Linked DNA regions of Diceros bicornis minor. The protein of the gene in region 3 binds, or shares a complex with, the protein of the main gene of each other region. Links are inferred from orthologs where the notes say so. Each region holds a gene or a part of one and is shown on either strand. Other genes may lie near its edges. The genes, in order: ELAVL4, IGF2BP1, G3BP1 and CAPRIN1.

Region 1 (7,322 bases), on a different chromosome or scaffold from region 3:
AAGAAAACAAAATCCCAGGTATCAGTGTGTGTTGGTTTCTCTTTTAGATACGAGGGAACGTAGAACGGTGCATGCACGCTCTGTAAGTAATAAAATCCTCCTTAAAATCAGGCCATAGCAGTATAAGTGATGAGATTTATTTGTCCAGGTGGGTTTTTATCCTTTTAACATCCCCCCTCCATCACTGGGGCTTTCAACTTGGGACATTCTATTTATTCCTGGCAGAGGAGCAGATTAATTGGAATAGAATTGTACAAAGGAGACACCAAGTTTTCTGTACATCCCAAATAGTATACGACAGAAATGTTCCACTTCAAGGCAGGTCTTGGCGAAAACGAACAGCACTGGGAGGGGAGAGCTGATTGGTTTGCTCTTGTGGTTGTTTATAACTGTTCGTGTAATTGTGTTTTTAAGAGATGTTTAAGATTTTTTTTCAGTGTCTTTACTTTTAAGCTTTTGCTTATTTCCTATCATGAAAGACCATATCAAATAAACCTAATGTTTTACTCAGAAGAAAAGTTGCATTCTTAAACTCTTGCCTCCATCTTGTATGTGCTTCGTCCATATGGATACTTTTGAATCGGGTTTTTATCACGTGAGTCAATATTTTTCTCTTTTTGCAGAAGGAAAATATTTCCATGGAGTTTTTTGTGTTCCCTCTTGCTCTGTGTTGATTGGATTTTCCTTGTTCATCCTTTGCTGAATGAAACAAAGCTTATTTGTGTTTCATTCTTCACAGTTCTTATTAGAATTGGTGATGGTGTTTTGTTTTGTTTCCTCTCTATAAGTCAAGAGAAGGAGTTTTATTTATTTATTTTCACAAGATACAGAGAGAGATACAAGACAAGATGCCTGTTAGGGTGCTGGCGTTTCTCATGTCACATCCTACACCCAAAAGCTATTCCAAGGGGGAAAAAACAGTCTTTTAAGATGGTTCATTTGAATCTGTGCTCTCTACCCACCTGGTGGTTATCTAGTGAACTGTTACTTTAAAGAGTAGTTTAAACACCAGCCATGTTTGGGGCAGGCTGCTCTTGCAAAGAGAGCAGTGCATATAACAGGAGTCTACTGTGTGTGAGATAAGGGGAAAATTCAGCTCACTGACTAGAGGTTTTAATGTGCGAACTCTAGGGAAATAATATATTGACTGTTGCGTGGCGCGCAAGAAAATTGAAGAACCCTTTGCAGACGGAGTGCTTTGCAAAGGATTCTATCTGTTTCTCTTAAAACAAAATCTGTGGCAAGATGTTTGAAATCAGCAAGACGCTTAATGCTGCTTTGTTAAATAATGAGGTAATATTTTGTCACTTTTTTCTGGGCAGCATCTGTTTCCCCCCCCCTTCATTTTTTTCCCTATGTTTATGAAGGATTCTTTTTTTTTTTTTCTTTCTTTCCTTTTTATTTTCCTCATGGAAGTCAAGGAAATACAATTCACGTTTCCATTTCTGTTCCTTCCTTTCAGTGCTTTTGGAGAATTTGGTTGTCTTTTTTATTTGCAGTTTCAGCTGGCTGCTGTTTCCTAGCCCATTGTGCCACGTAAGGCTTCTCCACTGCGCGGAGTAGGTAGTTATTAACGCTGAATTGGCTTCTGGTACAGTCCATCTGGACTCTGTGTGGGAAAGCTGGCTGCCGGCGACTGATGCTGAGATATCTGCAACCTTTGGGATGTGTGCATGGTGGCGAGGGGCTGACTGATATGAGATTACTTCTTTTAAGGGAAATTGTTATTAATGAGTCAAGAAACTGCTCATTTATGGTAAGAGGGATACAGCCGCTCTGGCAGCCCCACAGCTCTGGGATATCATTTTTAGGTTGCCTTAGCTGCTTGAGTGAGACAAGTTTCTTTCTGTGGTGGTGGAGGATTGTGCCGGAAAAAAAAAAATCATGCATGACTGGGAGACTCGCCTGCCTGATTCTTGAGATAATATGTTGAGAATCTGTTGCTTTACAAATGTCACACCACTGATATAGTGGTCAGCCCCTCACTCTGAAAGATGAATGGTACTATTGGAAATGCAATAATAAGGTTGACTTTTCCCAACAATAGGATTCTGCCTTTGTCTTTAGAGAAAAAGCCTCTGAGGATATTTGTGCATTTGTTTGAGGATTCTGTTGAAAGACTTTAGAGTGGAGGTTTTTGGAGAAGTGATCAATACACAAAGTGTATGGATTTTTTTAGCCTAGCAAAACCAGCTAATCATTCATACTGTGATATACAGTTACTATTTTGGAAAAGTGATGAGAATATCTTTTGATATACCTAATGTTAATTTGTGGCTCACTAAGTGTGCTGAGATTAATATGGGTGGGAGAAAGGGGTTTTAAGCCGGCTGTTTTTATTTGTGTGTTTGTCAGCACTGTGTTTATGTTTACTTTTCACAATATTTTGATATTGGTGAGATCGCACTCAGTTTCTCTTGTCTATTTGGGGCACCTGTACCTGCCCTGTGTATATCTGTTGAGCTCTTTACAACACTTAACCTGTGAATTCATCCTTAGTACACAGTTCAACAGATCCTATAGCACTATTGTGACTCGTAGGACTCTTTATACATTTTGCTAAAGAAATTATTTTAAAGTTTTCTTAATTTAGTATTGTTCCTCTTGAAGGGATTATAGTTTTAACATTTCTACTTTCCTATTTTATGTATTTTCATTTCCAATAGCTCAATTTATTTAAATTCCAGTTTAATAGTTTAGATAGTGTACCCAACACACATTGATTTGTGGTGTATCTGTATTTTTTAAAGTGTGTATATATGTATGTATTTGTATGTGTGTTCATGAACTAGTAGTTTAGAAAAAATAGTTTTATTTTTTAAAAATGTAAAGGTTATTTTCTTTTCTAATAATTTTTCACAGACCCATTTATTCTTGGACTTTGAAGCCCAGAGTGTAGCATGATTTCTGGCCTATATTTCTACTCTGCTCGGTCCCATCTTGCTGTCAACTTCAGCCAAAGATTAAAAATTATGTTGAATTACGTCTTCAGTAATATTTGTTAACCTCTGTATATTTATTGAGGAACAAATTGACTAAATTATGAATTAAATAGTGATAAGTTAACTTTTTGGGTAGAAGTAAAGCATAAACTCCTGAGGTAAACCACTTTAAAACTCAAACCAGAACAAAAAAAGTATCTTAACTGAAGGCTTGGTATCAGAGGTTATGAAATGTATCACATAGGCAGACAAACTGTATACATCACCACACACTTGCTAAATGTCTCCTTGCAAGTCTTTTAAGAGGCCAAAGGAAGAAAACATCCTTTGAAGGAGAGATGCAAAATCACGTGTTCAGTAAAACAAGATGGGCACTCTGCACCGGTTATGAAATGAGTCTGTTGTCAAAAGCATATTTTTACCTTTCTCTATAGCAATAGGGAAAGCAAAGAAAGAATGTGTTTTAGTGGATTTTTAAAAATTCAGATCATGCACCTATCCAAGTTGAGAAATAAATTCATTTAAATAAATCATTCATCATTCTCTGTTTTGAAAAGCTCAGACAGAAGGCAGAAAGGTAGAGGCTGACAGCTGCCCCCTCCTCCCCCAGCTTTTTTTCTTTTTTGTTTATTAGGAAATAGTTTTCTGAAGCAAACTTGTATGAACCTAGTTCAGGGAGCAAGCACAATCTCAAACTTGCTTTCGTTTGAAACCTGGTCATGTGAGCTGCAGAAGGAGCATTACTTGCTAAAAATCAGCAATATTGGGAAATAATAAAGTTAAAATGTAGATGTATTAGCACATTGAAGTGCTTTTGTTGTTATATCTTTAAGCCTAGAGGCAGATCAGTAAATATGCATTTCGCTAGAAAGCAACTGTCAAGAAAGATAAGATGATTGAAAATATTTTAGATGGGAAAAGCCCTCTGTCAGAGGGGTAGGGTGGTGCAGCCCTCAGGACAGGGGAAAGAGAGGACACTCCCACTGTTAAGGTTTGCAAGCCACCAGTGACTTGCAGTTGTTACAGTACTTTTGAGCTGGGAGGAGGGAAAAGGTAAAAATACAAGTATGGCTGTTGTTGCTTCAGCCTGGCCTTAATTACCAGACACAAGAAGCAGTTCAGAAATCTGGTCTCTGTTGTTGTAGAGGTCACCAAATCATTAACATCGTCAATCTGGCAGTAGCTAATTTAAATAGCACCTGATGTTGCAACGCCTCCCTTCTTTTCCCCAGCCAATCAGATCCTGGCTTCAGCTGACAGATGGTCCCATAAATGGATGTAAAAAGGGGAAGCTTCGAGCCAATTTCAGCAAGGCTCTGTTCAGTTGTTCTTATCTACATCCTAGAATCGGGAGTTTCGGCTCACTGCTCCTTTTCTTTTTTTTTTTTCTTTCTCTCCCCCTCATCTCCCCCCCACCCCCAAATAATTGATTTAATTTACAATCATCCACACTGTGTGTTGTGGATCTTTAAAAATATACAACAATAGTAGTCATTTAAAAAAATATATTCTGAAACCTTTGCAAATTTTAAGAGAAGAGTCGAAGCTCTGCGAGACCCAATATTTGCCAATAAGAATGGTTATGGTAGGTATGACTAGATTTATAATCTGTTGTTTGTGTTGCTGGAGGGAAGAAAAGCATCTACACTTTGACCAGTCTTATGCTTGCACAAGAGTTTAGTTCTCTGCTGCTGTTTGGTTCCTACCTTTACTATCTCTTTTGTGTAGAGAGTGCGGGTAGGTCCTTGTATTGAAAAGCAGTGGGGAAATAGATTGTCATTTTTAAGAGGTCATTGTCAATTTTCCCTTCAACGTAAAGGCAGTGGGGGGAGGTGGGTTAGGGGGAGTTGGGCTGAAATAATTGCTGGTTTGTTGAAAGAGGTTATATTACATGAGACCATAATGCCAAAAGAAGGGTTTTATTTTTGCAAGGGAGTGGGGGTTTGTCTACGTGCCTGGGTTTTGTGGGGCTCGAGGTGGATGCAGCAGGGTTAGGAATCTCTCCATTCCCGTGCTGGAAATTTAAACCTCGAGAAGCAGCTCCTGGATACTGAACGTTGAGATGGGCAGTTGTGTTTCGGGGGTGCGCAGTCAAAACGGCAAAGAGAGTGATTTATTTGGGCTTCAGTAAATGCTGCATCTTGTATTTCAAAGAGTTTCCTGTCATGACCTCATAAAAAAGAGGAGGCGGCTTGTATGTGTAGCGGTGCCTGGCGTGTTGAGTTGTTGCTTCCTTCTCTGGGCAGCAGCTCTGTAAGGAGGAATGTCAGCTTTTACATAACGTTCCTTTCCGCTTTTGACACACTGTGTGAGGGTCCATCTTCTGCTGATCACAGATGGAGTGGAATGGCTTGAAGATGGTAAGTGAAAAGAGGAAGGCAGCTTGGAGATTCCAGCTGAGTGTGTGTGTATGTGTGTGTGTAAGGATGGTGGACTGTGCATCATAAATCACTGTGCAGATCGTTTGTGTGTGTGTTTATTAGTATTTCTCTTTTCTGAAAACCAGAATCCACCTCCAAGTGTAATGGCACTGCATGCACACTAGGCACACACACTGCCTCTTCCATAGACACACATTTTAGCCAAGCAAGGTTGGTGTCTTTTTGACAATCACAATGTCACCGTCGCTGTCAGCTGGCGTGTCCACCGCCTCTGTGAGCCTTCAACAGAATTACACGACTGTTAAAGTTAAAGGCACATTTCATTTTCCGTCTCCTGCTAAGAGTGATGGGGAAGGCTGGGAATGAGGGGTGGAGGAGGTGAGGTTCAGTACCAGCAGATGTAATTGTGAAACAGGACTTTTGGATGTGGAAGGGGAAAACCTTTCTGCCAAAGTAGTAAATCTATTTTTAGCATCATCTCTTTCTGAAAAAAAAGAAGCAGGGAAACTCCTTGAGTGCCGCTCCTGTCGCCTGATGTTGACCCTGAAGATATGGCACAAAATGGCATGATCAGATGCCGCGAGTGCCCACTTTGACTTTGAATTTCACCAGCAATAGCTTTCATGGGGTTTCAAAGCTGGGTATGGGGGGAGGCTGGAATTTCATATCCATCTCACTTATTTTTCACTAGAAAAGCCCGGGGAGGACTTTTCGCTCCGCATAGATGTTATAACAAAGCTGTGGTCTTTTTCCCATTCTTAGAGGATTGCCTTTGTCTGGCTGCTTGTTTTGATGGGTGTAAAACAAATAAGATTAGACCGAGCAGCCCAACTGAAAGCGATAGCTGGGAGGAAAACCCAATGAAAGGTTGCCGGGGAAACGAACAGAGGAAAAGCCGAATAGGGAGCAGGTGGCTATCATGAGAACACACTGCAAACAGTGTAAAAAAAGCGGGGGGGGGGGGGGTACAGGACCTCGATTATCTTTGCTGTTCTTTGTGGCCGGCCCAACTTTAATTATTCTTTATAAATAGGTGTTAATTACATTTCTAACTCTGGTTTACAGTGATTTTTAGAAATCTATTTTTAAGCATCTGTTCTGTCTCCCCTGTTTTTTTTTTTTTTTTTTTTTTGGTTTTAAAAAACAGAGAGAGAGAAGGAGGGGGGAAGGGAGGGTAGGGAATCTTGCTTTTTTTTTTCCTTTCTCTCTCTCTCTTTCTCCCTTTTCCCTGCTGTGAAATTGTACGTGCGAAAAATCGCAAGGAATCCTGAGAGGCCATTTGAAAAAAATGTAAATTGTATTGAATGAAGTTGATGGAAGCATAATAGTGAACTCTCACAGCTGATAGGTTCTGCAAATGACTTCTTAGAAATTTCCAGCAAATATCCATAGGAGAAATATAGGTAGAATAGATTTACCCTAAGCAATGACTTTGTGCTAGGTAATATTGGTATTTTTACTAAATCAGATGTTGATACTACAGTTCCAGGGAGTTCATTGTAGCTCTCATTTTATATCTTGAGTAGAAATTACTTTTAAAAATAATCAATAAAAAGCTGTATTCTAGCCTTTTTCTTCGCTTCCCTCTCCATGCCTTCAGCCACAGGATCTATCAGGCTGCACCCTTGCGACCACCGCCTTCCATTTAGCATTTGGTGCTGGTTCTGGTCTTGGCATAAACTGAGTGAAAAGCTGAATTCTTTTTTTCGGTATCTCTGAACGTCTGGGACCCATGTGTGCGCTGGGTGACAGGCATCTCTCGCTTTTTCTCTAAGAGTGCTTTACTAGTCTCTTTTTCTCATGATGGTGGGTACCAGGAGGACTGAAAGGTGTAGTACTTAGGTGAATAGGAGGTAGCGTAAAAACCACTGAAACGATGATGTGTTACGATTTCTTCCTGAGAGACAAATTAGATACATGATCAAGTAGCTAATTTTAAGCCCCAAAATGAGAGAATAAAAAATACTGAAATATATTAAAAGGTTATAAAATATAATTG
Region 2 (7,844 bases), on a different chromosome or scaffold from region 3:
TTTCATCACACACACACTGTTTGACCCCTAGAAAAACAAATGATTGTTCTTAAAGTTGCTTTTTTCTCCTTGAGTCTCTTCTATCTCTGAAATAAACACATTTCTTTTTAATGTTTTAAACACTGAAGACTTTTAAAGAAGAATCTGGAGGAGGAAAATTTTTCTTTTCTGCTTACCATTCTTTTACATTTTATGAGTTATCTCAAACACATAATTAATTATCCTTATTTATTTGACAGGAGAAAATGCTGCATGTGCTTTTAAATTGGGACTCATTTACACTTTTTCAAAGTTTATGGGCATTTAGAAGAACCACACTAAGACTTCAAGTTGCAGGAAGAAACAAAATATCCCCAGGCAATAACAATGAAATAACAAGCAAACAACAGCAACAAAACAAATCAAAACAAAGCAAACAAAAAACAAATTCCTCCAAAAACTTTGAAATCAAAGCAGCCATTTGTCATGAAATGTGAATTTTTCTTCTTCTCTATTTTATAGAAACCATAATTTTATTTCAAAATTGATTATGGGTCATTAGAAAATAAAAAAAGGGACAAATTCTATTTTAATGCCTTTCTCTCCTGCTTTCCATTTTTTTGTGACTTCTCTTTTGTAAAACATGCTAAACTTTTAAAATAGAAAGTCATTGATAAATGTTAAATTTAAAATGCAATATATATTCTGGGGATATATTCAAATGAGCTAATCTAAAAGAGGAAAAAGTTACATGCCCCAGAAACATCTATTCAGCACCACTTACAAAAGTAAAAGAATTTGATGTAACTTACATATCTAAAAATAATGATTAATGATTAAGATTAACTTACATCTACTGGACTAAATGGTACGTGTTGACTAAAAATGATAATTATGAAAACTTTGAGGCAGCATGGGAAAATGCTTATGGTACAACACAAGTGAAAAATTAAGATATAAAAATAAGGTGACAAAATATAAAACTATTCCAAATGAACAAATACTGGAAGAAATATTTAAAAATAAAATTAATTTTATATGACAATGGTGGAATTGTTGATTTTTTCACTTTATATCTCCAACTTTTTAAAGTGTTGTTTTATTCTCTTAATTTTTTTTTCCTCTCTGCATGTATTTGCAGGTTCACATTGAAGGAAAATGGATCTGAATCCCATCTTTAAAATGGAGTCAAGTTTCAGTGTTTCTGAATTCAGAGAACTGAATTCTAGAACTAGACCAAATACTTCTTCAGGAAAAATGAAGAAGGAGGAAGAGAAGACCAAGAAGTATAACAACATCAACAATAATAAAATTATTATTATTAAATAAATTATTAAAGAAAATAATTTATCCTGCAGCTATATTTTTAACTCTCACAACTAAATATAATTCTGCATTGAAGATTAATCTTTCCCCGAAAAGCTGTGTGGAAAAAAACCTGAAAACAAATACCATGTTTATTAGTAGTCTTTAATATAAAAAAAAAAAAGAAAAGAATGATGATAAATTATGGCATCCCAACTTGGCCCATGCTTGTCCCTCACCTAGGAATGTGAGTCTTGACAAGAAAGAACCCTTCTCTCAGGTTAATTTTAGTGCTGAGCTCACTCAGAGGGGAGAGATGAAGCACCAGTCAACAGGATTCAGTCCCCCCAACCCCAGCCTAAAATAGCCAGGTCACTGAGGCAAAACTGATTTGGGGGCTAAAAGAGTCTGCATCTCACCCCAGCTGTCTCCAAGCTCTTGTGTTCTTGCAGCCTCTGACTACACACAGAAGCCCTTGGTGGGGTGTGTGTGTGTGTGTGTGTGGGGATTAGAATTCAGTGAAACAGCTGATTTTTAAAAAGAACAAATCAGTTACGATTTAGCAATAGTTGGTAAATTTTTAATTTAATACATTTATATTTTCTCCTCTACTGTCATTTAAAAACATTTAAACTGACTCATTTCAGCTAATATCTAGACTTCTATTATATTTTTTAAGTGGAAAAAAATCAACCTAAAAGTGAACTGAATTCAATTATTATTTTTAAATTTTTTGTTTCCCTTTGAATCTAGGATAAGAAAAGGTGGGCTGCACTTTACAGGCATTTAGAGGTCTGTGTTGAGGTTTTTGTGGGGTGTAACTTGCTTTTGTTTTAGGAATAAAGAGATAGAGTAGTGGATATGTTCCCCAGGCAGAAAAGCTGAGAGGTGCTTCTATTAATTCCTAAAGATTTAAACTAAATAAGGAAACAGCTCTTAAAGTTTCTGGGAACTGAAAAGTCCTGCCTAGTACCCACTTCTTTGTCCCCCAATCGAACAGACGAGATTTAAGGAGATTGGGGCTCCTCTTTACGAAAAGGCCAAAGAACACAACAGCCTTTCTGAGACCATCTTTTAGCCCTTTCAAAAGTCCACACACATCACCAAGAAAAGTCCCCGGGAAACAGACCTACACATTCTGGCCAAGATAATTTTTTTTTCTTCTGAACTCTTAATTTTCCTGTGCATTTTCTTTGCTCTGCAGTTTGTATTAGCTTGTTTTTCATTTAAAAAAATGTTTATTGAATGCCTACTATGTGGTGGGCACCGTTTCCAGCTCGTTGGTTTGTTTTAAAATTGTTTATGGTCAAGAGTTGACTAAATATTAACAGTCAGAAACAGTGGGAGGGTGGGAGGAGGTGTGGGGGCTGGGGTACAGATGTCGCCCACCCCAACATTCTTTTTCTACTCAGCAACTAATAGCTTATAGTATTTTAATTTCTGTCGCCCTATGGAAAGAAAAAAATCACAAAAACAAAAATCCGACAAACACGTGGCTGGCTAGAACAAAACGCGGATTTGGAGGGTGGGTTTTGAAGGTGGTGGAGATGGAGAAACCGAGTTGGAAGCCTTCCCCCGCCCCCACGCTCAAGCCCCGTTTCTTTTCAGCGCGCGGGGACAACCGGGAGGGGGACAAAGGTGCGGCGTGCTGTCTTTTAACTCCCGACTTTTTGAACGGAATGAAATCGTCTGGCAGAAGAGTGGTGCGCCCAAGTCGGAGTCAGCTCACTGACTCTGCACACAAAATAATAACAAGAAAAAAACCCAAGGCATTCATATCGGTGCAGCCAACACGTGTTGCGGAGTCGGCCCGGGCCGCAGGCGACTGAGACAATGGGGTCGGGGACCGGGAAAGGGAGAGTGACCCCCTTCCTCACCTGCCCTCGCAGCACGCGTGTCCCCGAACGAATGATTTCTCCCTCCTGCAGAACCCGGAGCAAACCCCGAGCTTCCGCCCAGTTCAGGGAGACTCTGGCATTACTGGAGGTCCACCTCCCTCTTTCCCCGGTTCCCTGGCCAAGGGGGCTCCAGGGGCCCCGGGCCGCGCTCTCTGCCACCCCTTGGTGCCGTCCCAGCCCCCGCCGCTAGAAACTCGTTGGCCTCGCTCGCCACTCGGGCCGGGGTCCCGGTTGCGCGTGGACCGCGCGTCCCGCTCTCCGCCGTGTATCCGGGACTCCGAAACGCGCCGCCAACTGCCCCCTCCCCCACCGCAGAGACGGGGGTGCGACCGCCCACGTGTCGCCCCTTGCCCAGTCGGGTCCGTCCCTCGGGCTCCGGGGGCCGGAGGATCCGGAACGAGTTGGTCAAAGGCGAGGGAAGGGACCAGGGCGGATCCGCTTCCCCCTCCCCAGCAACGGGGAGGGGGGAGGGGCCGCCGCCCCCTCCTCCAAGCTCCCGCCCCTCGCTTCCCCGAGCGCCGAGCGGAAATTACCCCCTCCCTCCGCGGGTCTGACCTGGGGACGTGGGCGGGGCCTCGCGCTCAGCCCCCTGCCCGCTGCCCCTCTCCCGCCTTCCCGCCGGGATCCAAATCCTGCACCCCAAACAAAGTTCCCGGACCCGAACCCAGTGCTGGGAAAGCGGCTGTCGCTGTCCGGATTGGAGCGGGCGGAGGGGACTCCACCTGTCTGCCCCCGCGTCCGGGAGGGAGAAGGGACCGTGCGGATCTCCACCCGGTCACTCCCTCCCCGAGACCTCCCCCTTCGGTTCGCCCGGGTCTGCTCGCGCTACCCCTCCTCTCCTTCTCTCCACCCCGCCCTCTCTCCCGGGGTCATCTTGGGCCGGAGCCGTGCGTTCCCCCAGGACCCCGAGACGTTGTCGTTCAACAGCCGAACCCCGGCTGTGAGCCACCCTTTCTCCGGTGGGAATCCCGAAACATGATTTCCTGTGGATTCCTCGTTCCCAATCGCGACCCCCCGTGTCCCCAGCTTCCCGGTCCCGCGCTCGCAGGGCCCCTCGGTCCTGGATTCCCGGAGGCGAGGGAGTCTCCTAGGGCTGGGGCCGGGCAGGCCCAGAGCCCCCACTTAAAAATCTAGGGAAAAACCGCCTTTCTTTTTAAATCACCGGCTCGCGGGACCCCCTCCTGAAGACCCCAGAGTCCTCGGCTTCTCTTTGTCTCTCTCGGCCGTCCCCCGCCTGTCAGTCGCTAGCACTTAATCGGGGTAGGGTGGGCAAACTCCCCCACCCCCGGAGCACACGAATAAAAAAATCACCGTACATTTTACCCATAAAGAGGTGGGAGATTCTGGGCCCGACAACCCTCCCCCAGCTAGGGCCGGGGTAGGGGGATGGGTGGGGGGGGTGGGGCGCCTCCCTAGGGACCATATTCTTGCAAAAGGGGAGGGGACAAGTAAAGCTTCGGGAACGCAGCCCCCCCTCCCCACCCCGCCCAGTTTATCCGGGGGCGAGTGTCCCCCCTAGGCGGGAGATTGGTGGGCTGGGCCTGGCTGGAGGGTCGATGGGCCCTGAGGCGTCGGGGGTCTTCCCCTGCAGGGTGGGTGGGGGCTTTCACCACGTGGCTTCGCCTTTTTTTTTTTTTTCCGCTCCATTTTTTTTCAAGTCGATTTTATTTAGAGGCGGCGCCAGGGCGGCCACGGAGAAACGTGACACACCAGCCCGCTCGGAGGAGTTTCGGACAGAAGAGAAGGAGCAGCGCCGCGTCGTCCGCCTCCCAGCGCGCCGCGGGCACTTCTCCCGGGCCTCGCCGAACTCTCCCGCGACCTCTGCGCGCCCTCGGGCCGCCCTCCCCGCCGGGCTCCGGACAACTTCAGGGGTGGGGTGCAAAGAAAGTTTGCGGCTGCTGCCGCCGGCCTCCCGCCTCTCGGCCTAGGAGGCTCGCCGCCCGCACCCGCTCGCTCGGCCTTGCCAGGGACCGCGTCCTGCCCAGAGCCCGCCACCATGAACAAGCTTTACATCGGCAACCTCAACGAGAGCGTGACCCCCGCGGACTTGGAGAAAGTGTTTGCGGAGCATAAGATCTCCTACAGCGGCCAGTTCTTGGTCAAATCCGGCTATGCCTTCGTGGACTGCCCCGACGAGCACTGGGCGATGAAGGCCATCGAAACTTTCTCGGGTAAGGGCACACCCACCTCCCGGAGAAAACCACAACGAAATCCCTGAACAACGGAGACCTGCGCCGCCTCTTTCCGTGCCCGCCACCTCCTCTCTCCCCGCGGCCTGCGGGGCTCGGCCTCGGTACCCACCCTCCACCCAGCTCCTTCGACGCCCCCTCCACCCCCCACTCCCCTCTCGCGCGGAAATATTCGAGATTTCCTCACCCCTTCCTCCCAACCCGAGACGAGCAGCTGGAGCCTTTAGTAAGGTGGCCCCCTTACCCCCCACCGACGGGGCGGGAGCCCCCACTGGCAGTGGGGGGTCGCCAGCAAGGCGACCCCGTCAGGGCGTTATTTCCACGTCAGCCCCTCCCTATCCGCGGCTGGAGGCCCCTCCCGCCCCCAGCGTGAACACCCCCAGCTCCCCTTCCTCCGCCTTAGGCCTTTCCAGGCGGGGCAGGGGTCCCCGCTCAGTTTCCGATCTCCCGGCTTTGCGTGGGGACTGCAGCCTTCAAGCAGGACCCGCGGGGAAAGGGGTCCCGCCTCCCGCCCAGGGCCTGGGGCTTGAGCCATTTTGATTTGAAAGTGGGGCGTGAGCGGGGTGGCGCGGCCGCGGCGGCGCCGGGTCGCCATGCTGCTTCCCGAGACGCCGAGGCTGGGCCGAGAGGCGCGCGCCGCCGCCACCGCCGGGGACCCTCCCTGCGGGGCCCCGCTTCGCTCCCCCAGGGCCTCTGCTCCCGACCAGTCCCGACAGGTGACCGTCCCGCCGCCCAAAGCCCTTCTCCCTGGCTGGACCGAAAAATAAAGTTTCATTCTGCACCCCCCTCCCCCCTGCAACACACTTTGGGAGAAACGAGAGCCCTTTCTCTCTCGGCCCCGTCTTCCCACATCTGGGAGCCGGATAGGCAGCCCGCGCACACAGACGCCCGCGCACCTCTCCCAGATCGGGCTCCCAGAACGACCTACTACTCAGCCAGCCTCGATGAGATAATAGAACAAAACAAAAATTAAGAAAACACAATGAATTTATAGATTCCACCATTACCAGAGCGACCTTTTCCCACCCGGCTGCGAAACTCACTGCCTGATTCCTACAAATCCAAGTAACTCCTGAATTACCCTAATGCCTTTCTCTTTCCTTTTTCCGCCCCCCAGCCCTGTTCAAGCTCTCATATTGTCTCTCCTTTTTTTAATCCTTAGGCAAAGTGGAACTCCAAGGAAAACGCCTAGAGATTGAACACTCGGTCCCCAAAAAACAAAGGTAGGAAAGAGCTCTTTTCTGGGGAGGGGGGCAGCCTGGGGGAGCCGAGAAGCTGTGTTCAGGGGTCCATAGTGTCTCCAGTGGAAGAAACCCATTACTGGCCTTCCCACCCCCAACTCCGGATGTTGGGGGCAGGGAGGGAAGATTGGCTAAGATCTTGTAATGAGTGGTTTACAGCTTGTAAAAAACGTAAGCTGGGGCTAGGGTGGGCTAAGAGATGTTATTTGGAGAAATAAAAGGGAAAAAATAGGGGAGAAACCTTGAGGAGTTTGGTCAAGGGGTGTGGGGCCATTTTTGTGGGGAAGCTAAAAAGATTTGAAGAGCTCAGACTCATGGACATTTCTGCAACTTCCTAGCAGGCCTCATTTTCTCTATTTTTTCCCACCCTTCACTCACCATAATTCTTAAGTGGATTGGTGGGGGTCTCCTTTCACTCCCCAGGGGAAGTGGAATGAGTTCTGCCCCTAAAAGAATTTTCTTAGACTTGTGCTTTATTTATATTTCTGCAACAGGCATGGACATTACTTTTTTACAGACCCCTACCCCTAGTCCCTCACATGCACATCCTCCCCTCCCAACTGGATTTTGCAAATATGCTTTGGCTGTACTATCCTTTCCGAGGCCCCCCCCCCCCCACTCCTTCAGTCCATTGTTACAGGGGGACCATCTGGGGTGAGAGCTTTGTGTTCAGGCTGTGAGCTGGGGCTCTTTGGAGGGTCTAGAACTCCCTGCATGAATGGGTGTGTGTGTGAGAGAGACAGACAGAGACAGAGACAGAGAAAGAGTGTGTTCCAATACCTTTCTATCCTCACTTCAGCAAACTGGGGTACCTCTATCATGTTATCCCCAAATCCAATTCATGGTGGATTTCAAATCTTTCATTGAACTCTGGCTGGGAAGTATAAGGGCCGAGTCTTTCTGCTTTCTCAAATCTGACTTTAAACATGTTGACAGTGCAGAGTTTTCTCTCATGTTGCAAACCCCAGTAAATCTTTGATCCTTTCACTCCCCCCTCCTCTCATTTCAACTGGAAACTTGCTGAATTTCAGAATAGGACCTGGCCTTTTCAGGGTGGGAAGGTGGAGGTGGGTGGCTATGCATTTTTGGAGGTGGCTAAGGGTCTAGAAAGTTTACTGTGAGGTAAAAATCTGTTCAGTGGTTTAGCTTGAGATATTGAAGTAACTTGGAACTATTGTATCTATAGATGATCAATATGGCTTGTAACTATGTTTATAGAGCTTGTGATTTAA
Region 3 (7,682 bases):
TTTTGCAAACATCTTTGGCTGCAGGTTACCAGGATTTCCCGTGGATTCCAAACCTCTCAAACCACCTGGAAAGCTGTCTATGCAGCATTACCTGGTGGCACGCCTGAAAGCAAGAAAGAAAATCCCAGCTTCTTAGGGGTTTCTGAGGAGCCATGCCCCTTTCCCCTACTTGGGACTATCTATCCTTCTTCCTTGGGTAAAAGAGTATGGACTTGAAGTCAGACAGTCTAGCTTCCAGCCCTAGCTGTGCAACTTTGGGCAAGCTGCTTAACATCTCTGAGCTTCTTTCTGAGAAATGGGAAATAGGGTGGTTGTGAACATAACAGGAGATCATCTTTGTAGAGAACACCAGCAAGGTGCCTGGCTCGTGGTCAGCAGTGCACAGAGTTTGAGGAGGTGATGTGTTTGCAGAGAGTTTGCAGCGAAAGGAGTGAGGAATCCAATAGGCATGCGTTTCTAAGCCAGTAAAGGGTCTCTTTGGATCTTTGTATGATTTTTGTATGATAAGGAGCAAAAGTAAAGAGGTTAGCAGTCTGGGAGGGAGGCAGATTAAAACTTTGATGCTTCATCTTGCAAACTCCTCACACACCTAAAGGGGTAATGTAGGACTTCATCTTGTTTGTTTTAAAGATCAAAATTTTCATATTTGTAGTTCCTCATATCACTATTAAAATCTATATTTAACATTGAATTTCTTTGGAAAAATAATACATGCACATGTTAGAAAAAAATTATACAGTACCAAAGGGTACTTGGAATGACTGGAAACTAAGCCTTTCTCCTACCCTGGCCCAAGTTCACCTCCCCGTTAGCAATCATTAACGCTTTCTTGTGACTCCTTCCAGATATAACCTGTGCATGTAGAGCAAAACCAAGCAGGAATGTGAAGAGATAACTATAGCAATACAGTATATCTTAATAGAAATAATTGCCTCATGGCGCCTCTCCCCCCTTTTTACTCTTCCCATTATTCTGCACTTTACTTTCTTCGTTTATTGATGTCTCTTGGAGATCCCTCTGTAACCATACACACAGATCTGCCTCATTTTCTCTGTGGTTGCATGACAGTAAGCGTGCACCGTATTGTATCTATCCAGTCTCACATAGCTTGACATTCGGGTTGTTTCCTGTCTCTTTCTACTTAGAAGTAGTGCCGCAATGAATATTATTATACGAGGTCTTTGTTCATAGATGGGAGTTTAACAGTTAAAGATACATACAGGCACATATTTTGAATCACTCTTCATGAAAGATTAGCTATGTTTGGGAAACACTGATCTAGATGATATTCTCAGGATCATCCCTTACCTAGTATTTTCCACCACCCTTTCACTCTCACTACAAAACTGTGTATTCTGGGGCCTTGCCCATGCTTCTTCCCACCTGCTTCTCAGAGCTTTGAGGAGAAGTGGCAGAAAGAGAAGGGTGAAGCAGTGTACGGGAGGGGTTTGCAGATTTTGCTTGGCATTGGAAAGACTAGTAGGAGGCCAGGGACTCTCCCTTAGATGACTAAGGTGACCAGACCAGCATGTCTCAGCCCCGGCACTATGGACTTTTTGGCCAGATAATCCTTTGTTGGGGGTGGTTCTCCTGTGCATCCCTGGCCTCCACCCACTAGATTCCAGTAGCCCCTCTACCTAATTGAGACAAGACCATATGTCTCCTGGGGGCAAAATCTCCCCCACCTCCCCCACCTTGAGAACCAGTGCTCCAGGCAATTCAATGGTGGTAAATTACCCACTGAAAATTTACTAAGTATCCAGCAGCTGGGGCCTGAGGGTTTGTCATCTGAGTTGGGGGGAAACTACCACAGGAGGATGCCAACTTGCTCTCTCCTGTGGAAAACAGCAGCTACCACATGAGGGGGCTTGTCCACATTCTCCCTCTAGTAATCTTTTCCCCTTTCCTTCCTTCCTTCCTTCTTACCTCCTATCATACAACACAGTACATGACCACAGTCTCATTGTAAAACTTGCAAATAATACTTGATCCTCATCGCTCCCAATTTAGAGGTTTCCCTAGGGGGAATGACTATCGTTTTAAATTTAGAACTCTTCCTATGCACTTACATACCTGCTTTAACATACAGAAACCAGTTGTTTTGTTTTTTGTTTTGTTTTTAACATAAATGGGAATTCACTGTATGTTTTGTTGAACTTGATTTTTTTTAAACAATTGGAGATGGGTGCATATCTGTATAGTTCTACCTCATTCTTCTTTTTTTTTTTTTTGTGAGGAAGATCAGCCCTGAGCTAACATCCATGCCAATCCTCCTCTTTTTGCTGAGGAAGTCCAACCCTGAGCTAACATCTATTGCCAATCCTCCTCTTTTTTTTCCCTTTTTTCTCCCAAAGCCCCAGTAGATAGTTGTATGTCATAGTTGTACATCCTTCTAGTTGCTGTATGTGGGACAAGGGGTGCGCCGGTGCACGCCCGGGATCCGAACCTGGGCCGCTAGTGGAGCATGCACACTTAAACACTAAGCCACAGGGCCGGCCCCTACCTCATTCCTTTTTAAACTGCTGCATAGTATTCTACATTATGTGCATATCGTCAGTTAATCAGTTTGCAAATTGGTAAGCAATTATGTTTTCAGTTTTTAAATATTCTAACACAGCTGACAATGCTGTAGTGAACACTTCATTACATGCCTTTAAAAAATGTAGCTATCAACCAAGAAGTGGGATATACACAATTTTAACAGAGACTGCCAAATAGCCTTACAAAAAGAGTTTAAAATGCCCTCCAAATGTGATTAAGAACAGCCTTGACCCCCATCACAGGCCACCTGCGTTAAATTACCAATCTGTGAATTTAAAGTTTCTGGATCTGCTCTCATTAGCATCAGTTCGGAAAGTCATTTTGTAAAACGCAAATTTCTTAGTCCACCCTTTAAGAAACCTTTTAGGGGCTCTCCACTGCCCTCAGAATAAAGTCCAAATTCCTTAGCAGGGCTAACACGATCCTGGAGGTTCCTTAGCCCAGAAAACCTTGAGCAGGTTCTCTGGGCTGAGTTCCCTTCCTGTGCTCTCATAGGCGCCTGTTCCCGGGTTTGGGAGCTCCTGGCCCAGAGCAGCGCCCCGTCTGTTGAATGGGTGACAGCAAGAAGGGACAGCGTCTCGATCATCTCTGACCTCAGCCCTTGGAGCTCAATAAATGCTGAACGAGTGCGGCCGATGCGGGAGTGGGGTCTGGGGGGCCGGAGGGGCGCTCTCACTTCGCTCCTGGGGCCGCCCGGAGTCTGCAGTCTGGGGCCAGGCCCCGCGCAGGGAGGCAAACCGGGACACCCCGGAGCCCCACCTGGCCGCTGCTGCGCCCCTCCTCCCCCCACGGAGACGATCCACGTGCTTCTTTTCCAAATTTCTCTGCCAAACTTAACGGGAGATCCTCCCACAGGGTCACATTCCTGGAATGAGAACGCACCGAGGCGTGTCGATGTATTTCCATGTAAAATGCTTATGGTGACCAACAGAGGGCCCGACAAAACACTCAGAGGAGCGCAGGAGACCAGGCTGGTGTGCCGCTTAGCCCCTGAACTGTTCCGGGCAATCTTCGGGGCGTCCATACAGGAGTTTAAAGACGGAACGACCTGAAAATAAGCCCGCACACTCACAGCATTAGAAAACTGAATGACAATGGTGGTGGGTGACGCACAGGATGTTGCATTAAGGCCCGAGCTGATCGGAGAAGCTACAAACCACCTTCCTCGGCAGCAACAAAAAGGGAAAACCTCAGCTGAACACCCGCCAGCCGACCACCGGGCCGACCTGCCGCTGCGCTTGCCAAGAACAGCAGGGTAAAAACGCGTGTTGTCAAACTCCCCAGCAGTTTTCACGTGCGACCTGTTTACAGGCCCTTAGGTCCACAACGGGAGCTCCTTTCTCCTTCGGCTCTCCCTTACAGTTGTCCAACAATAGTGCTGACTAATGGTGAGAGCCAGCAAGTGCCCTTAGGCGGCCGCATGGAAATAAAAAAGTTGTTATAAAAAGAAAAAAAAAAAAAAAACGGGAAACTTTACTACTTGGTTTCCCTGGTACCAAACTGTGCGGAAAAGGGGGGAGAGGGGGCTCAGAAGCCCGACCCAACAAGTGAGGGAAAGAAAGGAAAGCGGACGGAAGCCCGGGCCAGGAGAGGCTCAGAGCCGCCCCAGAGGGCACGGCGGCCCTGGGGCTTGGTCTCCTTGGTGCTGTCCAACCCCCGTGTCAATCAGCTCCTTCTTGCGTTGCGATTGGCTGGGGGCTTCCTGGGCCTCCCTGGAGCCCACCTCCTTGTTGCTTGGGGTTTACTTCCCCAAAGTACACGGGCCCCACCTTGTGGAGCAACCGCTCCTGCCTGGAAAACGGTTCTCCGCCCAGGGGAAGACGATTTAACGAATGGGAGCGGCTCCACGCATTTATTGGCTGCCTTGAGTATCGGTCAAAGAACTTCCCACCCTCCTTTCCACCATACGTTTAGGTAATTGGTCTCTCTCAGTGCCAATCCGTTACTAGGGAAACGAGATCCTCACAGTCTCATAGGCATGCGTCAAAGCCAATCAAGAGCCACGCCTTCATCCTGAGTCAATACCCAATTGCCGCTCGAAGAGCCCAGAGGACGCAGTCGGGATTGGTCACCAGCCTGGCCGACCTGGCCGCAACAAGTTAGGCTGAGTCGCGCTTATAATACACCGGCGACGGAGCACGCGTGTGTGCGGACGCAGTTGCTTGAGGGGTTTTTGCCTTCCGCTGTGCTGTGGAGCAAAGCTTGTTCCTCTCCCGCTCAGCCGCGCAGGTACGCCGGGGTGTGGGCGGGGCCGGGCGGCGGGGGGACGAGGACGAGGTCCGGCGGGGGTGAGAGGGAGGAGAAGTCCGAGCGACGCTCGCGGCGGCCGCGCGCCCCCGCCCCCACCCCTCAACGGCCGCAGGCGCGCGCGGCGGGCGCACGGGCGCGCGGAGGCTCCGGCTCCCCCGCCCCAGCCGGCCGGCGCGCGTGGCCGTGTCCACGTCCGCCGCGTGCGCGTGCCGCTCCCAACGGCCACGCGGGGCGAGAGCGAGCCGCGGCCGCCGCCCCGGCCGCAGGGCGATCTCGGGGGCCTGGGCCCCGCGTGGTCGGCTCGCCTGCTTTTCCCGCCCGGCCCCTACGCGCCTGCCGAGTCCTTCCTCCCCGGGCGAGGGGCTCCAGCTTGGCCTGGACCGGAGGAGGCCTTTATTGAGGATCAGGGGCGACGCGCGAGTGCGATAGGTTTTTTTGACCTGGGAAGCAGAAGTGGTGCTCCTGGGTTTTACAGGGAGTGAAGGGGGAGCAGCGCGTGCAGGGATCCTGTGTGATGGTAATATCTAGTATTCCCTCTCAGCCCTCGCTGCGTGCCCGGCGCTGGGCTCCGCAACTTGCGTGCCTCTCAGTCACTCCCACGACGACCCGATGAGGTAGGTGCGATGATTTTCCTCATTTTGCGGCGGAGCCCGAGGCCCCGAGGGGAGTGACACGGTCAGAGGCACACGGGCGGCAAGGGGCAGGTATTCGTTTGAACCCCGGCCATCCGACTCCTGGTCCCCGAGCCTGTTTTGTTCTTTGTTCCGGCGCCCTGTGCGGCTCCAGGGCACCTTTGCCCCCAGAGCGCCCTGGGGACAGCATCAGCCTCGACAGGCCGCCTGCTGCGAGCTCTGCAGCGGCGTTTGTGCTTGAGCCCGTCGTGGGCTTCCAGGGAGACGAGGGTGGGAAGTGGGATTCTGACAAAGGAAAAGAAAGGATGTGGGCTTCCTTCCTTCGTGGGCTCGTACAAAGAGCTGATGGATGTGCCGCCCTAAAAGCTTCTGGAAAAAGTATGGAATAAGATGAATCAGTGCAAATGAACATGGACAGTGTTTCTCGTCGGATTTGAAACTCATATTACCATGATGGGAAATTCCCGCCAGCAGGAAGTTAGGCTCTGATATTAACCTTGAATCTTTCTTCTTACATGTAGTCGGAGCAGAGTTTTGAGAAAGACCTTCGAGAAGATAGTTTAACTTCCTTGTTTTATAGTTGAAGAAAATGAGGTTTAGAACGATGAGTTGCAGATCTCGGCGGCATTTGTAGGTTTAATTTGAAATTGCGATGGAAAGGAAGGTGCCCAGTTACGGTATGAATTTGACCCCTGTGGAGCTTATGCTGGGTGACGGATGACTGAGATGTGTTGGAAATCTTACTCTTAACGGCGGTTGCGATCTTCGGTGGGTAAAGAAAGCCTGTCTACGTTCAGTTCTTTTATTTAGCGTTCACTGTAAGGCTCCTGTGTATATATGCAAACGTAGAAGACACTTTCAGAGACTAGAATTTATATTTTTCTAGTTGAGTTATATTTTCGATTTTTAAAAGCATGTATACTCCTTGGGTTAGTGAAATAATAAATGTTCCTGTGTGTTGCAGGTCCAAATCATTACATCACAAATGTCTCTACTTGAGATAAAACTGCAATAAAAGTTTGGGACTAGCCTTCTAAGTTAATTTTGATTGTGATGGCTTTCAACCTTTGTTTTTTTTAAGAAATTTATTTTGTTTGTACATACACTTTCTAGGATTGGTCTTCATGAGTAAGGAATTTTTTGCAGTCAGAGGGAACACATAATTTACATCCTTGTAGGAAAATTTAAAAACCATGAGGAAGCTTAATATTTGTAAGTGTTTCCATTTACCCAGTACTTTTCCATGTTTCTTAACAGAAAGTAGCAATAGATAAAGGATTGAAATATTGTATGGACAAGTGCTTACCTTTCTTGGTGTTGCCATAAATAACAGATTGCTTTAGAGTGTAACATTGTTGTACTTGGAACTTGCCTTCCTGTAACAATTCCAGCTACCTGCGTCTAGACACCTGTTAACTATTGAATTGGCATTTTAAGTTATCAAGTGTTGACACTATAGTGACCTACATTTAAAATGATAAGTTTGAGTCCAGCTAATTTTATTAACTCCTTGAGGTAAAATATATGAGAATGAAATTACCTTTTGCATTGAGGGATTGCATTGCATTTCTTAGTTTCCCCTTCAAATATTAAAAAAAACCACTGTCCTTGGCCTCAGGCAAATGGTTATCAGTTGAGTAGGAATATGAAAACTGTGATATTTCACAGATTGGTAGCCCAACTGATCTCTTATGCATTCATTTATCAAGAACAGATGAATTGGAGCAGATTGGGATAATACAAGACCTGTGTGCCTCCCTGCTTCCCAGCCAAGTCAGAGGTTACTTTTGTTGTTAAATGCTTTCAATCTAAGCTTTGATCCCTCTTCTAACTGGTGGAGAAGTAGGCAGTTCTTTGTTCTTTATTTAACTCACATTCAGTTGGCTGGTCTCAGCTGACAGTCTGCTAAGGGAACATCAGGAGATTTGGTAATGTTTTTGGTGACCTACTTTGCAGCAGTTTTTTGTAATTTACTTTTTTTTTTACTTGTTTTAGTACTTTGCATAGAAAGTGAAGGGCAGAGGTTGGTTTTAAATTTTTTTAGGTTTGTTAGGAGGATGGATGGGGCAGTGTTAAAAGACGAAATTTAATATAAAGCCTGAGTTTGTAACCTAAACCAATTTTTTCTTTTTGCCAGTTTAATAAAATTACTCACTTGATCTTCCAACATTTTGCAATTACGCTGGTTTTTTAACATAATATTTTGGAATTCAAATATGCACTGTATGTCCATTTAATTGTGCTTTAAGACTGCTTTGG
Region 4 (7,053 bases), on a different chromosome or scaffold from region 3:
TCAGATGCAAGGTCCCCTCTTTAGCTACAAATATACTCAATGTTAGCTTATTGGGTGATTCAAGTTGAAGCAGCTGAACTCTTTTGCCAACATGATCAGGATAAGAAGTTCAATTACTCACTCACTTGACTGTGGAGACTTAGAGTGCTGTGGTCTAATGAGTTAAACAAGCAAACGTCAGCTTGGGAGATCTGTGTTATTAAAACACGTTAAGGGGCCAGACCCCTGGCTTAGCGGTTAAGCGCTTGCGCTCCACTACTGGCGGCCCGGGTTCGGATACAGACGCGCACCGACGCACCGCTTCTCCGGCCATGCTGAGGCCACGTCCCATGTACAGCAACTAGAAGGATGTGCGACTATGACATACAACTATCTACTGGGGCTTTGGGGGAAAAAAAAAAGGAGGAGGATTGGCAATAGATGTTAGCTCAGAGCCAGTCCTCCTCAGCAAAAAGAGGAGGATTAGCACGGATGTTAGCTCAGGGCTGATCTTCCTCTCCTCCCCCCCCCCAAAAAAAAACAACACGTTAACATTGGGGATAACTTTAAAACCAAGGTTTTTGGAGAAAGTGTTTTTCATTTATAGATGTACTCTGCTCTCCTATTGGTTTTGTAGGAAAACCCTTTAATTTTCCTATTTCTTCAGTGATACAATGACCTGAAGCTACTGCATGGGTTTGGATTATGAAAAAAGGTAAAAAAAAAAATGATTACAGTAAAGTATTAAAAAATTCACATAAACATAGCTTCAGTCCCCTTTTTGTCAGACAGGAAATAGACAAATTTGGTTTGCTGGGACCATGGCATTGGGCTGGGCAGAAAGTCAGACTAAAGACACTACTTTGCCTTAAACTGATTAGTCTTCCTGGTCTTGCTGACCTGATCACACAACTGCAAGAACGTCAGAACACCAAGGAAACCAGATGGGATGACATATTGTAGGAAGTGAGAGCCCAACAGCTATGTATGTTCACCAAATGTTTCCGGTTCACCTAGCTTCCTACTAGGCATCTGATAGGACAGCATCTCTTGGTTGGCTGGGATCATGTGACTCTTTCCGGCCAATGAGGTGTGAGTGCACATGATGCAATTCTACCTGTTTGAAGTATTTAATCGACTACTTGAGATACTCCCCAGTTCTCTTTCCTTATGGTAATCATCAACACTTGAGATATGGTTTCTCCATCAGCCTGAATCTACTTAGTGACTACTCTGAGCAGAGCCCTCAGATGGATGGATGTGTATCATTTGTTGTTTTAAGCCAGGGATTGGCAAACCTCTTCTGTAAAGTGTGTAATAGTATTTTAGGTTTTTCACACTATACCATCTCTGTCACAACTACTCAACTCTGCTCTGCTGTGGCACGAAAGCGGCCATGGAAAATACGTACATTAATGGATACGGCTGTGTCCCCAAAACTTGATTTACAAAAACAGATGGAGGGCTACTCAGCCCCGAGACTCTGGTCTGCAGATCCCTGTTTGAAGTCACAGCGCTCTCAGGACTGTTACTGCAACATAACCTAGCGTGTCTTGACACACTGTGGGCTGTGAGACGGACTTCCGACTGAGGATCTTTGTCATCCGTGTTGTCAGCTACCACGTTCCCTCAATAATCTTTCTTTTTTCCTTGAAGAAAAGCCTAACTTAGCTTTATGCTTTGGTAACTGCTACTGTGTAACGAGTCAAGGAAAGGCAGAAGAGGCCTCTCCTTCTCACACCTTATCACAAGCCCTCTTCAGCTCAAACTTTAATTATAAGAGGTCTCCAAGTCATTGGTTCTCATACTTCAGCGTGCATCAGAATCACCTGGAGGACGTGTTAAAACACAGATTGCTGGGCCCCACCCCCGGAGTTTCTGATTCTGCAGGTCTGGGGAAAATTTGCTTAGTAGAGTATTTCATGTCTGGTCTTAAGCACATTGGTCAAGTTCTAAGGAATAAAGCAGAGATTGTTGTTCAAACTTCAACGTGCATACAAATCAGCTGAGGCTCTTGTTAAAATGCAGTAGGTCTGGGGTGGGGCCTGAGATTCTGAAAGTGACAGTAGTCAGGCTGAGTACACTAAGACCTGCAAGGAATTAAAGGATTCTAATCCTCCTTTCTAGCCTCTAGGCTTAGCAGAGTGTCTAGCGCAGCACTAAACACAGTTCAGGTGCTTCCATCTTGAATAATCTTAGGTCAGCTTTGACTTCTCACTCACCTAACACACAACTGCTAAGCAAATCCTGTTGGTTCTACTACCATAATGTGTAAAGCAACCAACCACCTGTCCCCACCTTTGCTGTGAACACCCTGACCTTGGCCACCACCATCTCTGGGCTGCATTATTTCAACAGCCTCCTAACTGGGCCCCAGCTCCTGCTCTTCTCCACCCTTCCTCTCATCTCTAACACACACTACAGTAAATTCTCTACATTGCAGCAAGAGGCTTTCTTTAACACAGGTTGATCATGTGACTCCTCTGCTAAAGCTATGCACGCTGTGACTGCCCATTTCACTCAGCAGAAGCCCAAGGCCCTACAGCCACCTACCAGGCCTTACAAGGCCAGCCCCCTTTCACGTCTCTGACCTCAGCTCCTATTCTTTGCTCTAGCCTCTGCGGCCTCCTCGATGTTCCTTAAACCCACCAAGCGCACTCCCATCTCAGTTCCTCGCACCTGGTGTTCCTTCCACCTGGAAAATTCTCCCTCCAAGATACCTGCTTGGTCTTCTCACTTCCGTCAGTCTCGGCTTACATGTCCTCAGTAAGCCTTTTCCTGACCACCCCGTCTGTTCTCTCTACCACTTGACTATCTGACACGTACCTACTTATCTTCTCCCCACTTAGAATGTGAGCTTTATGAAGACAGAGGTGTTTGTTTTGTTCACAGTCCCTGGCACTAAAGAGCTCCTAAGACATAGTAAGGGGCTCAAGGAATCTTCGAATGAATCGATAACCGACTTTGCAGCTAACCGGACTGTCCTGAGGCCGGAGACCGCTGCTGTTTCTCCAGGCTCCCTCAGGGTACACTGCTGCCAACCAGTATTACTCATTTTCTTCCCCAAGGAACAGCGGGTTTAGTATCATCCTTTTCGAAATCCCCTTTTCACGGAGTTTCAATTGTAAATCCCTCATTTACTGTTGTCATACAACATTATGCCGCTGAGTTTTCCGCTAACGACTCCCTTTAATACATTTCCTTCCAGCACTTGGTTCATTTTCTGTCCACACCCACCCCGCCCCTAGGTTAATTATAAGGCTCGAATAATTCTCTTGGAGCAAAAGAAATTTTCTTTTGTATTTTATTCAACATTCTCTTAAAAGTTTTAGGAAAATCTAAAACAAAAGGAAAGAAAACCCTAATCCGTAATCCTCAGGCCTCTTGGATAAATGTCATCTTACGGTAGCTGAAGATTACTTTTAACACGAGTCGGGAGGTTTAAGACTTTCAAAATGCCACCTATCTTGCTCCTTCCAAGGCGTTCGACAGGGAGCTCCCAGGTGAGTGTCCGCGGGGAAGCGGCGAGCGGGCGCTCTGCACCGGCCCCTGTGCAGGGCGGGAGGCCACCTGACCGCAGCCAGAAGGCATTCTAGAAGCGGGGTTCGCACCAGCGCCTCGCGCACCACTCACCGGCGGGGACCTTTGCCCCCACCCCCGCCCCCACCACGTAAGGACCCTTCTCGGGGCAGCCGCCAGCTCCACAGCCAGCCGCTTGACACCTATTGTCCCCGTTTGGACGTCAAGCGACTTCGCCTGAAGGACCCTCACTTCGATTCCGCTCACAGCTCCAGACCCCACTCCTGCAGCCTCCCCGGGGCCCCCCGCGGCAGGGCCCGGGCCGGGGCGGCGGCCGGGCAGGGGCAGCCGGGCCGGGCCGGGCCGGGCCGCGCCGCGCCTCCCCGCAGGCGTTCGCGCCGGGCAGCCCGCGCCCGCGAGGGCCCCTGCGCTCCCCGCCCTCCGCGCCGAGGCTGGCGGCGAGCTCCCTCCCGCTCGACTCTGCGCCTCACTGGCAGGGGCTCTCGGTGCAGCGGGCACAGCGCGACGCGGCCTGCGCCCACGGAGCGCGCGACACTGCCCGGAACGCAGCGCCACGCCCGCCCCCTCGGGACCGCCAGCGGCCTCCGCGCGCGCACGGTGAGCGCCGGCCGGCCGAGGCGCCCGCGGGGCGGGGGCCGCCGCCGGGTCCCTTCCCGGCGGGGGCTCGCCCCTCACGTCTCCCTGCCCCCGTCAGCCCAGTGCCCCTCCCCCGCCGCGCCCCTCCCCCGCCGCCCCTGCGTCCCTCCCCGGACGGCGGCGAGCGTCGGCCCCGCCGGGGGACCGTTGCGCTGGCCGTTGGCGGCCGGCGGCGAGGCCCCGCCCCGCGCGGGTCCCGGTGCCGGGGGGTGGCCGGGCGGGGGCGCGCGGCCGCGTCCCTTCCTGCCCCCGCGGCGCCGTCCCCGCCCCCAGCGCGCAGCCGCCCTCCGCCGCGCGTTTTGTCCCGCGTCTCGCCCCGTCCGCCGCCTGACCGGCCTCTCGTCCTTCCTCCCGCTCTTTCTCGTCTCCCTCGCCGTCTGAAGATGCCCTCGGCCACCAGCCACAGCGGCAGCGGCAGCAGGTCGTCCGGGCCGCCCCCGGCGGGCTCCTCCGGCAGCGAGGCGGCGGCGGGGGCCGGGGCCACGGCGCCGGCCGCCCAGCACCCCGCGAGCGGCACGGGCGCCGTGCAGACGGAGGCCATGAAGCAGATCCTCGGCGTGATCGACAAGAAGCTGCGGAACCTGGAGAAGAAGAAGGTGCGGGAGGGGTGGGCCGGGCGGCTCTCCCGTCCCCGGAAAGCGGGCCCCGGGGCGGCGCTGTCAGCTGCCCGGCCGCGGCGCTGCCCGGGCCTCCGTTCCTCCTCCTGCCGGGGCGGCCTTCGGGTCGGGGAGTGGGCTGTGCGGGGCCGGGGCGGCAGGGGGCCGCGGGCTCGGGCTCGGCGCTGCCTCGTGGAGCCGGGCTGACCGCGCCGCTCCCGTGCGCTCGAGGCCTGCCCGCTCCTCTCTCTTGGGAGACGGGCGGACGTGTTCAGGGTCCCAAACCAGAGCCGCTTCCCCCATCGGGCCCTTTTGGGGCGTCTTCGATCTGCTCCCCGCCCCCATCCGAGGGGCGCCCCTGCGTGTTCCTCTTTGTTCCAATTGTCTAGGTGCCCCCGAGCCGCGCGCTCGGCCCGGCCCCGAGAAGCGTGTCTGCAGCGGCCTTTTGTCCCCGGGACTCTGGAGAGGGCCGGGGGGCGACGGGGACGACTGGGGAGGTGCGGCGGTGCGGGGACGGAGGGGCGCCGGCCCGGGCACATGGAGCGCGGCTAACATGGCGGCGGCGGGGAGAGGGAAGCTCGCGGAGCCGCATTGTGAGCACAAAGCGAAAGCGGGGGAGGGCAGGCCGGGCAGCGCCCCTCCGAAGCCGACCACGCCCGCAATCTTGCCGTTCAGTATCTGGCCCTTCCAGGTCGCACCGGGGGGTCTGTCTGCAAGTCGGCCTTTTGTTGTGTGCTCTCCGCGCAGCACAGGGTACCGACTCTGTGTAGGGGGACACGTGTGTGCGTGTGCGCGTGTGTGCACGTATGGGGAAAGGGTCTCGGCAGAGGGAATAATTCAGCCTTCAGTAAGATTGGGGTGGAAAGGAAAAAACAAATCACCAGCATAGCATCTTTAATTTTGAGGAAATCATTTAAAAATGTTTACAGTGTTTAGCCAGCCACCTAATAGTGGTACTTAAAACGTTGAGATAGTAACTGTTAGGCTGAAATTTCGACTGTGGGAAATAACTTGACGAAAACTGATGACATTTAGGCCTTAATTATCTTAATTGTTTGTTTAATGATTTATTTTACATTTTGGGGGAGTTTAAAATCATAAACATTTTTAGATTTGTTACTTCTCTGTCTCCTTCTGTATTGGGAATTTTATTTGAATTTCTTGGACTTTTTGAAATTGAGAGATGCACTAATCGTGGGTTTCTACTTTTTGCTTATCTTTTATTTTGAAGAACAAGTGTGGTTTATTATAAATGATTGAAGTTATAGATTTATCAACATCGACCAAGCAACAAAAGTATTTTAATTATAAAGTAGCTATATTCAAGTATGTAACAGAATAAACATGCCCCAAGGCTAGTATCTTCTGGTTCTGTGTCTGCCATCTGTTTTAGTTTTTGCCACTCTATTTGAAATTGAGGCTTAGGTATCTTTAAAACCTCTTAATGCAGTAAACAATCCTGTCAATCTGGCTGATGCCTGAATGGTTTAATTTTCAGAATTCCTAGGAATCTGTTTTCTTCGAGGATGGGAATCAGAAGATGTAATTAATTAATTAATGATATATTTTACACAGAGTCATTTTAGTATACATATTTATATTTTAATCACTGAAAAGTATTTCTTTCAAAGGCATTAATATAAAGTCAGGCACTGAGTAGCAGCCAGCTTAGTTGTGAGGTGATTATTAGATTCTAGTGTTCAAGTGTATTTGAAAAGAATAGAAATCTAGTTTATAAGTCCCTTGAGGGCCTGAACCATGATGGGTCTCTCCTGTCTATAGGTTTGTACTGCTGTACGTTGCCTAGTTGTGTCCATCCCCCGCCCCCCCATCATTATAAAGGAGAAAGTAATGTAATTATTATTACAGAGATTATAGACTAGGCTAGTAAGTACTGAAAAATTCCCTTGTAATGATGGACATTTTACAAAATAACAAATGTATTTCATATCATCTTTTCTGTCGGTGTTTTGGGTGCTAGATAGTAAAGTGGAAAGGTCAAATTACAGTTACTTGAGGCTTTTTGATAACTCACAGACTGAGCTACATACTCGTTAAATAGTTATGTTGCCAGTACTGATGTTGTGACTTAATTACTATTAAAACAAACTATGTTTTGAGAAACTCAAGGGCGTTTGAATTTTTCTCTAAGCACATCTGGCTTCTAGTTTAAATTGAAATTTTCTTTATAGCTGGATAATTTACTGTATGAAAAGATTTAACTGATTCATTTTTCAGTAGTGAATGAGCATTTCTAATACATCTAAAATAGGATTTACTTACAAGTCAGTTTTGAACCTTT

What was found.
Region 1: G3BP1 (region 3) and ELAVL4 share a complex: the UniProt entries of both Homo sapiens proteins name them as parts of the TAU mRNP complex. The link is inferred for Diceros bicornis minor from reciprocal best matches to the Homo sapiens genes G3BP1 and ELAVL4.
Region 2: G3BP1 (region 3) and IGF2BP1 share a complex: the UniProt entries of both Homo sapiens proteins name them as parts of the TAU mRNP complex. The link is inferred for Diceros bicornis minor from reciprocal best matches to the Homo sapiens genes G3BP1 and IGF2BP1.
Region 4: the proteins of G3BP1 (region 3) and CAPRIN1 are in contact, whole or in part, in a crystal structure (PDB 8TH7), measured with the Homo sapiens proteins. The link is inferred for Diceros bicornis minor from reciprocal best matches to the Homo sapiens genes G3BP1 and CAPRIN1. Residues at the interface, in NP_005745.1 of Homo sapiens: Glu4, Lys5, Pro6, Ser7, Leu10, Val11, Glu14, Phe15, Arg17, Gln18, Thr21, Leu22, Met29, His31, Arg32, Phe33, Tyr34, Gly35, Lys36, Gln58, Lys59, His62, Leu114, Glu117, Asn122, Lys123, Phe124, Tyr125; in NP_005889.3 of Homo sapiens: Met363, Gln365, Met366, Gln367, Gly368, Pro369, Tyr370, Asn371, Phe372, Ile373, Gln374, Asp375, Ser376, Met377, Leu378.

The regions. Positions count from the first base shown.
Region 1 is NC_080752.1:12,622,362-12,629,683, forward strand, and holds the start of ELAVL4 (ELAV-like protein 4), read left to right. Parts: upstream 1-4,322; 5' UTR 4,323-4,518; coding exon 4,519-4,527; intron 4,528-7,322. UniProt on the Homo sapiens protein: RNA-binding protein that is involved in the post-transcriptional regulation of mRNAs. Plays a role in the regulation of mRNA stability, alternative splicing and translation.
Region 2 is NC_080757.1:37,072,053-37,079,896, reverse strand, and holds the start of IGF2BP1 (insulin-like growth factor 2 mRNA-binding protein 1), read left to right. Parts: upstream 1-4,838; 5' UTR 4,839-5,178; coding exon 5,179-5,353; intron 5,354-6,533; coding exon 6,534-6,594; intron 6,595-7,844. UniProt on the Homo sapiens protein: RNA-binding factor that recruits target transcripts to cytoplasmic protein-RNA complexes (mRNPs). This transcript 'caging' into mRNPs allows mRNA transport and transient storage.
Region 3 is NC_080740.1:68,626,793-68,634,474, forward strand, and holds the start of G3BP1 (ras GTPase-activating protein-binding protein 1), read left to right. Parts: upstream 1-4,664; 5' UTR 4,665-4,770; intron 4,771-5,114; exon of another isoform or gene 5,115-5,405; intron 5,406-7,682. UniProt on the Homo sapiens protein: Protein involved in various processes, such as stress granule formation and innate immunity. Plays an essential role in stress granule formation.
Region 4 is NC_080770.1:34,299,827-34,306,879, reverse strand, and holds the start of CAPRIN1 (caprin-1), read left to right. Parts: upstream 1-4,044; 5' UTR 4,045-4,116; intron 4,117-4,538; coding exon 4,539-4,751; intron 4,752-7,053. UniProt on the Homo sapiens protein: mRNA-binding protein that acts as a regulator of mRNAs transport, translation and/or stability, and which is involved in neurogenesis, synaptic plasticity in neurons and cell proliferation and migration in multiple cell types.